4 linked regions of the Oryzias latipes genome follow. The protein of the gene in region 1 purifies or fractionates together with the protein of each later gene. This does not show direct contact. Links are inferred from orthologs where the notes say so. Each region holds a gene or a part of one and is shown in the gene's direction. Other genes may lie near its edges.

Evidence for each region. The genes of interacting proteins can lie anywhere in the genome.
Region 2: the proteins of SMC5-SMC6 complex localization factor protein 2 (region 1) and smc5 purify together in Homo sapiens (affinity purification with mass spectrometry; 3 studies listed by BioGRID and IntAct, with this or other methods). This does not show direct contact. The link is inferred for Oryzias latipes from reciprocal best matches to the Homo sapiens genes SLF2 and SMC5.
Region 3: the proteins of SMC5-SMC6 complex localization factor protein 2 (region 1) and rad18 purify together in Homo sapiens (affinity purification with mass spectrometry; 3 studies listed by BioGRID and IntAct, with this or other methods). This does not show direct contact. The link is inferred for Oryzias latipes from reciprocal best matches to the Homo sapiens genes SLF2 and RAD18.
Region 4: the proteins of SMC5-SMC6 complex localization factor protein 2 (region 1) and slf1 purify together in Homo sapiens (co-immunoprecipitation; 3 studies listed by BioGRID and IntAct, with this or other methods). This does not show direct contact. The link is inferred for Oryzias latipes from reciprocal best matches to the Homo sapiens genes SLF2 and SLF1.

Annotation. Positions count from the first base shown.
Region 1 is NC_019873.2:22,424,027-22,426,660, reverse strand, and holds the end of SMC5-SMC6 complex localization factor protein 2, read left to right. Parts: intron 1-927; coding exon 928-996; intron 997-1,098; coding exon 1,099-1,428; 3' UTR 1,429-1,967; downstream 1,968-2,634. UniProt on the Homo sapiens protein: Plays a role in the DNA damage response (DDR) pathway by regulating postreplication repair of UV-damaged DNA and genomic stability maintenance.
Region 2 is NC_019865.2:11,194,243-11,197,956, reverse strand, and holds part of smc5 (structural maintenance of chromosomes protein 5), read left to right. Parts: intron 1-116; coding exon 117-188; intron 189-914; coding exon 915-1,170; intron 1,171-1,292; coding exon 1,293-1,447; intron 1,448-1,612; coding exon 1,613-1,726; intron 1,727-1,876; coding exon 1,877-1,971; intron 1,972-3,714. UniProt on the Homo sapiens protein: Core component of the SMC5-SMC6 complex, a complex involved in repair of DNA double-strand breaks by homologous recombination.
Region 3 is NC_019863.2:2,784,831-2,788,544, forward strand, and holds part of rad18 (E3 ubiquitin-protein ligase RAD18), read left to right. Parts: intron 1-13; coding exon 14-411; intron 412-762; coding exon 763-862; intron 863-2,567; coding exon 2,568-2,755; intron 2,756-3,155; coding exon 3,156-3,226; intron 3,227-3,470; coding exon 3,471-3,531; intron 3,532-3,714. UniProt on the Homo sapiens protein: E3 ubiquitin-protein ligase involved in postreplication repair of UV-damaged DNA. Postreplication repair functions in gap-filling of a daughter strand on replication of damaged DNA.
Region 4 is NC_019867.2:15,917,934-15,921,647, forward strand, and holds part of slf1 (SMC5-SMC6 complex localization factor protein 1), read left to right. Parts: intron 1-568; coding exon 569-738; intron 739-840; coding exon 841-975; intron 976-2,112; coding exon 2,113-2,269; intron 2,270-2,792; coding exon 2,793-2,955; intron 2,956-3,290; coding exon 3,291-3,436; intron 3,437-3,714. UniProt on the Homo sapiens protein: Plays a role in the DNA damage response (DDR) pathway by regulating postreplication repair of UV-damaged DNA and genomic stability maintenance.

The DNA of each region.
Region 1 (2,634 bases):
AGTCTGTGGATTCTTTTTAATAACATTGTTATTCTGTTGCTAATAAATGATGAGTATTTCTCGTGGTATTTTTGCTGATGGTCTAGTCTGGTTGATACGTGGTGAGTTTCTGCTTCATGCAGGTGTTGAGACTTTAAACGTGATCGTAGGTCTGAATGTTCTGTAGATGTGAGACAGACTGCTCACATGCAGACGGGGAGCCAAACCTATACTCACACGCCGCAGTGGGTGACAGGCAGTGGGTTTTACGTTTTTATAATCCCTGCGCGATTCACCTGCTGTCCCCACAACCCCTCACCCCCACCCTCTGCTTTCTCCCTCACACATCCCGTCCCCGCATCTGCGCGCTCTTTCTCAGAGACGGGAGCGCGCAGTTTTAGGCACGTCAATTCAAAGGTTTCCAGCTGGTACAAACTCTGTGAAATAATAGATAATAGTAACTGATAGCGCTGGCGCAGATTTCTCTCTCTAAGCACTGCTACTACTGCGCGCCTCTGGCATCGCATCGCGCCCGAGAAGGACTGGTCTAATGAAAAAAAAAACTATAATTAAAGATTTGTCTGCGAGCCACATGTGACCATCAAAAGAGCCATATATGGCTCGCGAGCCATAGGTTCCCGACCCCTGCACTAGACAGTGCTCTGAACCTTTTTTCTTCAATGATTTGTGATCTTCTCTGGTGTCCATGGATTCCATGTAATATTTCCACCTTTGTCATGGTAGGGAGAACACGTCAATGTAAGGGTGGGGTCATCTAAGATAGCACAAGGGTTAATGAATTATTGCTGCACATGTTCACAATAGTCGGCAAAGTCATTAGAATAAACAGTGACCTGTAGTTTTAATACTATTTTCATCAATTAAAAGTCTTCCCTTAAAATATCTGTAAGGCTCAACAGTGAAGAATAGTTTTCTCTCTTCTCACAGCTGAAAGACCTGGTTGCGAGGATTTACACCAAATGGCAGATGCTCCTTCAGAGGACGAGACCACTCAATGTACGCTAGTCATTATCTTATTGATACATGTGCAGCACGTTTTGATTACGGTTGTCCTCTGACTCATTTTGTGATGCTTGTGCCTTTTTTTTTTTCATTTAGGGTAAGCTTTACGATTATTATATACCTTTAGAAATCACAAGCTCCAGCCAAGACGAGGAAGAGGGCACAGTTGATGAAGAAATGAATGAGGAGGAACAGGATAGGCTTTCAACTGATGAAGACGAAGGATCTACGACTGCTGAGGAGGAAGAAAAAATCGAGGGGTTAATGGATGAAGTAAACGATCCAGAACCGAGTCAGACAAGTGACAACGAAGGAGACACCAGCAAGGATGACACTAACACAGTTGAAGAGGCAGTGACTAGTGACCTGCAGCAAGGCAGTGCCGGGAACTCAACTCCAATTGATTCACAAGAAGAGACGCATTAATAACCTGTGTGTCAGTAAACCTTTAAAGGACTTTGCCTCATGTTTATTTGCACTGTTTGGTTTTTTGGTAATAGATCTTTAACAGACTAACTGTACATTTGTATTTGTTCTCATGTATTATGCTATAAAAATATGTTCTGTTTTTTGCATTACATTTAGTAAAGCTTCAGACCTAGTATCATTTAGTTATATGTACAAAAAAATGACACTGGTTTCACACTGTTTTCACACAGGTTATATGTTATTCTATTCATGTTGGGTTGTTATGTCAGCTTTTCATTCTTAACACTTGGTTAGGTTTACCCTTAAATTTAAAGTTTTGACCAAAATATTTGTATCCATTTTTTTAGTAAAAATGAAAAATTTTGCAATTTACAATATTGTATTTTAATGAACCATAAAAACTATTGTTTTTAAATTATTTTTCGCCTTTATGTGCAAAGATTTACACTAAAATTGTTGAAATTATTTGATAGTGTATGCTAAGATATTTAGGATAAAAATTCCTCTGTTTTTATTAAAAAATTAAGAAAAATATAGATAATTTGGTACTTGATTCTATGTTCTAAGTATTTATTAAGTATACTCTGGCATCTAATTGTGCTATTTTGAAGCTAGCTGAATGAAGTCAAAGAAGCTGTTGGGGTTTTGTGTGCTCAACAAAAAACACGTTTAGTTGAAGTAAAACATAAACTGCCATATGAGGAGCTTTAGCTCTTACAAATAGATGATCAAGTCAAAGTAGGAATAGAGGGGAGATGGGCTGCAGATTAAATTATACAAAATACGTTTTTAAGAGTAAAAAGAACATATTTAAGTCATAGTATTATTATTGCAACTATCTTAATATTGCTTTGGAAAATGGTCTCACCTGGTTAATAGGCATACCACTGCTGCTGCCATTGATCCTTTTCAATTTCACATCTTAGCCACCAATTTTTTATGTGGCCAGCTTTGCTTATGATTAGTTCATCTGGATATTTCTTCAACAGCTGCTAGTTCCTCTTTAAATTCTGTCAAAAACATAAGCAGGAAGCCCTCTTTCAATCTGCTATTTAAATTTTTTATTATTAACTAGTGTACGATCTAAGAAATGACGTGTGATTTATCTTTACTTACTTTTAGCCCTCGTTAATGACTTTCTTTTAAGTAAAATCTTTTACCTTTGATAATACTGACACTACGTAAAAATCAACACAAACCTCG
Region 2 (3,714 bases), on another chromosome or scaffold:
TAAAATATTTTATCTTTTAATTAAATCCTACCGGTTTTCTTATAAGTTTATTTTTCATAAATGCTTGAGAAATATAATTTTCTCAAGATTCATGAGATGTTTTTGATGTTTTTCAGACTGCAGCTATCAAAGAAGCCTCTTTAAAGTGCAAACAGAAACAGGATCAGCTGGACCGAAAACACAAAGAGGTGAGAGGTTTTTGTTCTGTTCTGTTCTGGGCCCCCCTATGCCAGGCCCTGGTCTGGGAGGCGGATGTGATTGCCCGGCGGGAAGTTGTTCTCTATCTGCTGCAGCGGCGGACGTCTTAGTGTGGGAATGGCTTGGTACTCTCCCTCCTTCTTTTTAGATTTCATCATCCACTTTAGAAGAACATAAAGATCCACTCGAGCACAGGTGCTGTCTCACCTTTGCACAGATAGTTTGAGTGATTAAATGAAACATTTCACATGGGTTGGTCCGAATGCATAAGTGTGTGACCGTCAGTTGTATTGTGTACATGTTGACATATCTTGTATGTGGGCATTTTTGGAGGCATTTGGGTGTGTGTGTGGACAGCCCCCCCCCCCCTTGGATTTGTTGCCTTATGCTGCTTCGCGGTTCTATTCCCCTCCTATTTAACGCCCCCCCATGCCTCTCTCTTCATCCCTTCTTTTCTTTTCCGTCTGGTCCAACAGATATGAGTAAGATGAATAAAGTTTAGCCTAAATAACAAAAGAGGTTTATATAAAGGTACACTTAGTGTGTCAACTGTTTCATAAACCCCATTGTAGCAGTAAAATATGTCCAACACAAGAGGCTTTCAGCTCTCATCTGTAAAAAACAAAACAAAAAACGATGCATATTTTTTGGCAGAACAAGCGTAATAAAAAAACAAAAAACTCCCAGAAGAACTTAGCTTACTCCCTTCTGTGCAGGTAGATGACATCAAACAAGCGTTGAGACTGAAGCAGATGGAAGAAGAGGACCACCAGAAACGAATCAGTAATACGAGGCGGGCCATTGATGACCTAAAAGCAGAGTTGGCCAAAGTGGCTGACCAACCAGACGTAGCGCCACAGATTAATGCCGTCAACCTGGAGCTGAGGCAGATCCAAGAGGAGAAAGCCAAGATCGAAGGAGAGAAGGCGGATTTGCGTAGGGAGAAGGACAACCTCATAGCTGAGTCCAGAAGTAAGTCTGCAGGAAACGTCAAACAAATGCGATGTCCCAGCCCGTTTGCGCCGTGTTTTCCATGTTGAACCATCATAAACAAGTTTAGCAGAATGTTGGATAAAAACGTTTTTGTTCTGTAGCATTGGAAAAGAAACTGAACGACATGAACAATATGATGAATGTGAAGGAGGAGAAGCTGCGAGGACGTCACAGGGACACATACACTGCCCTTCAGTGGCTGCGGCAGAACAAAAGCCTCTTCCAGGGGGAGGTCCATGAACCCATTATGCTGGTGGTGAGTTCCACAGAAAAGGATGACTTTTTTGATTTGTTAAGACTCCAAACATGTGAACACAGAATAAAGAGTAAATGTGACACAACTGTCCTTTTTGTTTCTGGCAGTGATGATGTCAGGATTGTCTTGTACCATTTTTGACGAATGTCCTGCTTTTACCTTCAGATCAACGTGAAGGATAATCGCTTCGCTAAATATGTGGAGAACCACATCGCATTCCAGGACCTGCGTGCGTTTGTCTTCCAGAGGAAAGATGACATGGAAAAGTTCATGACTGAGGTCAGGGGGGTCCTTGATGTCATATAGAAATGCAGTTTGACAACAGTTGGTAGCAAACGGTGAAAGGAAAACCTCCATAAACTGGTCTTTGTAAGCCTGTTGACCTCCTGCAGTTGTTCAGTTTATTACTTTTTCCCGTTTGCTCATCAGGTCCGCGACAAGATGAACTTAAAAGTGAACTCTATTTCTGCTCCAGAGGAGTCTTGTTCTAAGCGCCCGCCTTCAAGGAATATTGAGTCTCTGAGGTAAGTGAAGATGTCTTTGATCACTGAAATGACTATAAAAAAAAAAAAAAAAGTGATCTCTGTTTTACTGTTGTGGTGAATAACAGTTATCGAATATTCCACATTTTATTTTAAAATCACATAAAGAGATCAACTAGGACAGGAAAAAATGATCTTTGTGTTTGTTAATATCTATTTGGGTAAACTTTCTGCATTTGCAATGCCACAGGTTAGTTTATTTAGTCACACGGCAAATTAAACATGACATGGGTACTTGTGTGTCTTCTGGCCTTGAGTTGTTTCACTATATTCAAATGTTAGGACCGTATGTTTCCATATCAAGTGGCGGCTTATTTGGCTGCAGTGATGCAAATGATGGCTCACATTTCAGACTCATTTTTCTGAGTATTCCTTTAGACCAGATACTTTAGTACATTTTAAGGACATCCAATCTAAGTACAGTAGGTGTTGGTTTGTCCTTCTAGATTTATATGGAATATTGTGATCACAAGTGATTCAAAAGGTTTTCTTTAAATGTAAAGTAATGTTTCTGCACAATCTGGAATGATCATGTTTCAAGTCCCACTCCAATAATCTGTTGATCTATTTTCTTTTTTTTTTTTTTTTTTTTTTTTTTTTTTTTTTAACTTGTCCTGTCCAACAGCTGGGCAGTCAGATGAGAGCTGAGGGCCTCTTGGGTTGGACATATTTTACTTTAACAAGAGGGGTTATTAATCTTCAGACAAACCAAAGGTATGTCTGAATAAACCCCTTTTGTAATTGAGGCCAAACTTTATTAATTTCAAACATGTCTGAAAATCTTTGGTGTTGGACCGGACGGAAAAGGAAAGAGGGGAAGAAGAGAGAGGGACGTTAGAGAGAGGGGGGGGTAGGGGGTGATAATAGAAGGGGAAGGGGGATAAGACCATGAAGCAGCATAAAGCAACAAGTTTACTGGTTGTTAATCATTATGGTAAGGTTTAAATGTAAAAAAAAAAGGGCGGAGCCTGTCCACACACACACTCAAATGTTATAAACACACCTGTTAGTTGCAAAAATGTCCACCTGTCGACATGTACACAAAACAGATAGTGTTCACACGCATACTTATGCCTTAAAACCAACTAGTGTGAAATATTTCAGTCATTCAGTCTGTTGAGCTAACACCTGTGGTCAGGTGAGTGTTTATGTTCTTCTAAAATGGAGGGTGGAACGTGAAAAGAAGGAGGGAGAGTGCCCAGCCATCCCCACCCCAAGACCCCCACCGCACCAGCAGCGGCAGCCGGAATCCCCCCAACGCCACACGGGAACCGGCAGGGAACAACCGCCGCCCGGGCGACCAAGCCCGCCACCCAGGCCAGGGCCAGCAGGGCCGCCGCAAGGCCCCCAGAGCCAGAGAGCAGGGAGGCACGGAGGGAAAGAGAGCGCCGCCCCAGCCCAACCAGGAGAGCAGCCCCCCCGCCGCGCCGGGAGAACCCAACGCAGGGCCCCACCGGAGAAGGACGCCCACAGCCCCAGACGAGCACCCCACCACCACCCAGGAGTTCCGGGCATCTCCCCGCCCCAACCCCAGGTACGAGCCAGGACCCCCCCAAGGGAGACCCGCTCCGCACTCCAGGCAGCCATCCGCCCGGCCCACGGTTGGTCCAGGGAGGAGCGAGGCAGGGGCCCGCCGCCCCCGCCCAGGAGGGGGGAACCCCGGGGAAAAAAGAGGGCCCACAAGGGGTGTTGTAAATATGGCCCGACCAGGCTCGGCCACAGTTG
Region 3 (3,714 bases), on another chromosome or scaffold:
TTTTGTTTTCCAGGCAACAGCTAATAAAAGCTAATTTTGACTCGCCTCCAATATCACCAAAGACACCAGCATCAGTGGCGAAGTGTCAGACTCCCAGAGAGAAAGGCCAGAAACCCACCAGCTCCATTCTAAGCCACTTTTTCCAGAAGAAGGTTAAATCGCCGTCCGGCAGAGAAGCCCATCAAGATATTCAGTCAAGGGAATTACAGACTGCACAACCTGGCAATTCAGGGAACGTTCAAACAGGACAACTTCGGACATCAGTGGTTATAAAGGAAGAACCAATGGATGTGGAAGACTCCTCCACTCTGACCTTCGGTGCAGTGAAACACGAGGACATGGCTTCATACAGCTCTAGGTTTCACATGACAAATCCCTCACCATCAAAAGATGTTAAGCCTGTAATCAAAGGTGAAGTTCTTTTACCTTTAGGCTAAAAGCAATGCATCTTCAAGACATTTGATCTGTCTTTGATCGCTGTTAGATCAGTCGTGGAGCTCCAGCAGCACCAGAATAGAAAAGGGTCAAGATCCTCAGAAGATTTAATGTGCTGTAATCTCATCATAAAAGCTTTCAATTAATTACCTGATCTACATGGCAAAAATAATCTGTTCATTTGGTTGAATACTGAGGAAAGGGAATATGATGTTTTCTGTAGTGTCCAAAGTGTTTTTTTTTCCATCAGGTGCAGCAACAGAAAGGTTTCCTGTAGTAGATGCATCGATGAAATAGGTGATGGCATATTTATCTGCTTTTTTTCAGTGGAATGTCCAGTTTGTTCTGTAAGTGTGTCACAACACTTTATCAACAAGCATCTGGACTCCTGTCTTACCCGAGGAGAGAAGAAGGAGAGCCTGCGGAGGTAAGGAACCCTTACGATACATCACCTAAATGAGCACACTGTACTGTTGTTTAATCAATGTTAGCTCTTTAGAATGAAGTGACGGCTCAATAAAAGTTAGGGTATTGGCTTTAAAGCGTTAAAAAGCTAGTATGTGCATTTTTCACTGCCTTTTTGGGATGAGCATCAGAGTTTCAGCTTTTGTTGTTCAAGTATGAGGGAGTGCATCAAGCAGAGTGGGAGAAAAGGGGCCTGATTTTAGGGGTTTGACCCTCAGTGCCCTCGCATAGCATTACAGAAAGTCTTTGTAATGTGTTTGCATGTTTAATCACTTTTTGTTTTTTTAGTTTAGCTGGACTCAAACCAGCTGAGGCTTTATTTTTACCTCTTCAGGCAAAAGAAGAAGAAAAAGCTGATCCAGGTGTATTTGTAAGGGGAACAATTGTGAGGCAATTTTTCTCTGTACAAAGTCTTGTACAGAGAAAAATTACACAAAGACCACAACTATCCTGTGGGCAGATTTAAGGCAGTTTCATCCTATTAAGTTCTGAGCAGAGGTTCTATCAGCTGACTGCTTTTGAATGATCTCTTGAGTTTACACACAATAGGATCTAATGTCCGTTTTGACCCCAAACCGTTGAGTTACTTATAACGTAGGAGCAATACTTTGGACAAAAAAAGATTCTGTGTGGACTTAAAATCAGGATTAGGTGATCAGTTCTCCTGGTTTGGGGTAAAACTCTAGCAGAATAGTTACATCAGTCCAGTCTGTATGATAATATTTGAGTTAGCTTTTCTAAATCTAACCTGAAGCGTTCTGTTTCACCAAATCAAGAAAAGGCTGATGTCGATACAGAATTGATGTGAAATTACAAGCTGGGATCTAATTGAATGCTGACGTCAGCATTCTAAATAGTTTCTTTTTTTGTTTTCTTCTAAGCCTGTAGAGCTTTGTCTCTCATTTCCAAAAACAGTTTATATCCTGTCCTTGTTTAACCAAGGAACATTTCCTCTGCTTTTCAGGGAGCTCCACGTTGTCCATGAAATTGTGAAATAAAAAAGTTATTAGTGCGTGTGATCTAAATGTTGTGTTGATGGGTGGCTTTGGTAACATCAGGCAGTCCAGCTACTGTCTGATTTAAAGCACAGGCAGCCTTAAAGGTCATCTTCTCAGTATGGTATCCCTTTGGTTTAGAAATCAACATACAATATAACCAATTCCAATACAAACATTTTAACAAGGAAACAAACATTTGCATTGCTGTAATCCTCTTTGGTCCCGTCACCCAACAGAGTTGTCAAACCATTTAATGTTAATTACCAATTCTTTGCTGAAAACGATTCTTAATTTTACACATTTGCTACAACAAACGTTTCCATCATTTTTCTTCCTGTGTATTCTGTCAAAGATGGGAAAGTTAGAAGATTCTGAATTGGTCATCTTTTAAAGAGTTCTATGCAGCACTTATGTGTTTTTGTGTGGCAGCACCAACACCTGACGTTTCGTCGAGTCAAGTCGGTTTGACAAACTCACATTGCAATATTTTCTGATACAATGTGTTTACATGCTGTGGTATGATGGATCAGCTTCACACATTCGCCCTTGTGCTTTACACATCACGGCATTCTGGACCGTCGGTGATTGATGGTGGGACTTAGCATAGAAATCCGCCTCAGGAATTACCTGGTGAATTCCCAACATAAACAGTCAATTTGTCTTTTTCAGCTCTCTTGGCAAAGCCAGGCGTCCAATGGCGAAGCTGGTGTACAACCTACTTTCAATGCAGGAGCTGAGGAGGAGGCTGAAGGAGTGCCAACTGTCAGTGCAGGGTTCTCGGGACCAGCTAGTCAGGAGGCACCAGGATTTTATCCATCTGTTCAATGCAGAGTGTGACTCCCTCAATCCAAAATCAGGTGGTGAAATGAATTCTGTATTTATATTTATACATGTTCAAGAAACCGCTAGGAATAACCCAGCGGCATAGTTCATGTAGGTGCTCTTTCTATGATGTTTTTTTTAATGTACATTGGAAATCACAAATGTATGCTGCTAGACAAAGTACCTGAAAGTTACTCAAAGTACATCTTGTTCTGAGCCAGCAACCTCAGGTGCTCTTGGGTTGTTTTCATCAGCCACACATGCACAGTCGCAAGAACATTGTGTGTTTACAAAGCTCTAAAGAATACACCAAATAACCTGCTCTCAGCTGATCAGGTGCTTTGTTAAGAAAAAAAAGGAAAAAAACAGCCTGATGAACATAACACTTTTGCTACCATTCATTATATCACACCTTTCTCCATTTTCTATCAACAGTTGAAGAGATTGCAAAAGAAGTGGAGGCCAACGAGAAGATGAGAAGTCAACTTCAAGGGAAAATCAAACCTGTAAGTACTTTTCACTGGTGGAGAGCTTGGCACTTCTCTTGTGAAGTGAACCCTGTTTTTTTGTGATGTGTATCTGTAATGACTGATAACAAGCTGAAAGTGGTTTAGCACTTTTATAGCGGCCCAAAAGCTTTATATGGATAAGAAATTCAAGATGTATGCAAAGGCTGCTATCATAGCACACCATGTAAACAACTGCTAGGTCAAACAAAGTCACAACTGTTTTTAAAATGTTCTCTTGAAGGTCATGGTTTTCTCCAAGAATCATTCTGAGGAGGAGATTGAGGCGATGCATTCAAACTATAGTAAGTGCTTTTTGTGCCTACTGCTGACATTTATCCATCCTCTTTTAATAACTGTACTATCTTTTCTTCTTCTCTGTATTTAAATAAGAACAACATAATTGGAGATTTCTGTTTTTTTTTTTTTTTTAGAATGTGGGTGGATGAATCGATCTGATCCAAGCTTGATAAATCAATAGTTGATCC
Region 4 (3,714 bases), on another chromosome or scaffold:
TGATTTCTAAAGATCCTGATGCATTGTTTCAAGTAGGTGGAACTCTTGACTTCTAAACATTGAAACTGCTTTGGAATCAGTGAAGCGGAGAGGGTGTCATTTAAGGCTAGATAAAACCAGCTGATCTCTTTTCTTAGAAAACAAACGTGTTAAAAGTTACATTGTAGGGTTTTCTTAAGGTCAACGTGAAAAACAACTTTAGGACAAATCTTTTTGAAAGGATCTGTGATCAAGTGCCATTGTTATGGTGCATTATCCATTTTTGATTGATTGATTCACTTTTGAGGATAAGATGTCACAAATAACCTTGTATATTTTGATACATTCATGAGTTTATGGTCAATTCAAAGGCTGCTCTGTATAATTATCCCTCCACCTACATGTTTTTTTTTTTTTGGCACTGGAAGCCACCTTTCCAGATCCTCTACATTGCACATAAATGTATGACCTTGGATGTTCACAGTGGTGTCAACAAGAGATGACACTTTTTTCATCTGCATTGACATTTGACACATTTCCTTTGCATTTATATGCCATAAACTCAACTCACTTGTACATTATGTTACAGGGCAATGCCACACAAGCCTTCCTGAGATCTTTACATCAGTTTTTGAGTGTCCTGCTCATTACCAACCCGCCATGGCTGGCTCTTAGTACAGGGAAAAAATATTACATTCAAGTGCTGCAGTGTCCACAGTGTAAGAATGGCTTGTGGCCTTTTTTAGAGACAGCCATCAGGTAAACTACAAGTCCCATGAAATGTCTTATAAAATGCTATCACATTATTAATGAACAAAGTGATGTTTTGGTTCATATCTACAAATACGTGTGATCTTTTAGGTATTGCCTGTTCGACAGTGCCACTTGTCACCCCCTCCCTGGACCTGGGCTGCCAACTCTAATACATTTCAACCGTGACATTCTGGCACTTTGTCTGAAGATTTTCCAAGGGGAACTCCACTGTATTACAAGCAGGTAACAACTCCAAAGGCCCTTTTCTCATTTTCTTTTATTGTATTTTCAGCATCACAAGGCACACTGTATTATAAGGCGTAAAAAAGGTAACAGAAGCAAAACAGTGAGTTTAGTTGAACTTTATTCCACTATTTAGCAATCCACTCGCATCAATCCTCTCCAACAAGCCCCACAAAGTTCTATTCTTTGATGTCCGACTTTAATAATTTCGCAATTTCTGATCAAATGTACTGCGTTCCCTCTCATTGCCCTGTAGTTGTTCAGCAATGATGCCAGCTTTGTCAAAAGCTCAGACAACAGTTACAGCAGATACTTTAGCCCATGCGACCACAATCCATTAAGGCGCCGCCTCCCAGTCTTAGTAAGTGTGTGTGCGCCATCTGTCATCCATCGCTTCCACGAACAAAGATGCACACCCTAGACTTCTTTTCTTCCAGTAACTCCGGGAACCTTATTTTAAGGCCTGAAGGGGACCTGACGGAGTTTGATCACACACTAAGTCAGCATGACTAAATCCGAGTGACTTGCGCAGTCACGTGCAGCAAACGTACTAGAAAACTATCTGCGTAAACTTTGACTGGATCTTTGTGCAAGAGGGGAGCGGGGACTTCCAGGAAAGCTCAAAATCAGACGCGTGCTCCAATGTAGTTGCATGGGAGGGGGAAAGGCTGTCCACTTCTGGACATGACTTAATAACACAATAATCTCCGGGACTAACAGACAATGGAATGCTGTCAGACAAATCGTGCCCATATTTTCAGGACTGCACATTCGTAATGGTGCAGGGTGTGCCGATCTTTATGTTTAGGTAGCACTAAGGAGAGTTTCTGCAGTACCTTGAACTTTACCTCTGAACACATTGTTTCTTGGAGCAGGGCTATACCCCTTTTACGAGTAACGCAAGACAAACTGCCTTATAGTTCGTAAAGTACGGTATTTTTTATTTTTGTGGTCATCCTAACCTGTCAAAAAAGATCTATTCTAACAAATATATGGATTTCATCTGATGATGGATTCTTACTTCCCTTCACAACATTTATTTTTGCCTCAAGGGTCATTCCACTATAAATGTCACTAATGGAGGTTGTCAGTAATTATTTTTCTTACCTTTCTTTTATGTACCTTTCTGTCCGTCAGAGGTTTCCTACAGGGAACACGAGCGTCCCCTTCTTTATCATCGTCGTCATCAAGCTCCTTGTTGTACAGAACCTTCTGGACTGTGTGGGAGCGCTCGACGTTACTGTCCCATGCTGTGAAACAACTTGCTCAGCTCTTAATCCAGGCTGCAATGGTGGTAAATGGTTTATTTTTTCTTGTTGGTTAAGGAAAATATAGCTAAATCACTTAAAATTTGGTTTCTTCAAAGACCCACTCCGACGAAAACCGTGGTTTTGGTGTGTTTTTTAACACGTTCTTGTGGCATTTTTCTGATGATAGAGGACATTTATAAAAAAATTAAGCTTGTAATTGCCATTCTGGGTATTTCTTCATTCAAATCGTTGGGAATCAGGAGCAGCAGAAAAAAAGCTGTTTAAAGAGGTTGTAGCTGTGATGTAGAAAATTCTATGAAGCAAACCCCAACCCCAATTTCTAAAGAAGTACTGCCACTCTGCTGAAACTATGTCCTGGAAAATGACAGTGTTTTTAAATTGTTTTTTTTTTTTTCAATTTAAAAATAGCATAATCATATTTAAAAGACCACTAGGAATACTTTTAAAGTAGGTCAAAAGGTGATCAGAGTGGGACTTTAAGCTTGTAAAACGTAGCTTTTCAGGTTTACCGAATCCACAGTGCCATGTTGTTTACTCTAATTAAAGGACTATGCTGAGAGAGACGAGAACCTGCATTTGGCAGACATCCTGTTGGACCTGCTCTCTGTGTTGGTAGAGTTCTGGTACCAGCAACACTTCAAACTGAACCAGATTCTGGTGGACAAAGGTTTCAAAGACCTGTCGGAACACCTTGTCATTATTACCCAGGGTATGTAAAAACAACACAAAGTTTCAAAAGTGATTGAATCCATTGTTGATATGGGACTTAACCCTTGTGCTATCCTAGGCACATTAACATGATTGTGGGGTCATCTAGACCCCACAAGACAGTGTGCTAAACTTTTTTTCTTCAATGATATGTGATCTTCACTGGAATCCTCTTCACCTTTATCCACCTTTGTTCTGTTAGGATCGGGTCATCTGGACCCCATAGGATAGCACAAGGGTTAAGAAAACTCTGCAAACGTTTGTTAGTGTTTGTGATTGTTTGTTTATTAAAACGTAATTTCTGACTGAATGCTATCCTGCGTATTTCCTCTGCAGATGTGTCTCCATCTGTTTTAATTGAGTTGGTGGCCAGAGTTCACTCATCCAGGTTTCGTCTGGTGATGGCCGATGCCATGTTCCGGAATCTCTGCTGCAGAAGCGGCTGCACTCTGGGAGACGAACCTCTTTCTCTTAAGAAGATGGTGGGCCTTCTTCCTGTTTGTTTTTTTCTATAATGTATTTAAATACATGATTAGTATTAGGTTTATTAGTGACCGACAAAAAATATTCAGAGATATTGGCAGATTATTTCTGTCTGTCTACAGTAAATGCTGGTAAAAGCCTTTACTTTCTTAAATTATCAAAATTGTGCTTTAATTGGATCAAAACACCACTGATATTTAAAATATATATATTCTGTGCCTTAAAAAGAAACACCCAGAAAAATTCATAGGTTGTAATTATTTTGTTCCCATCACTG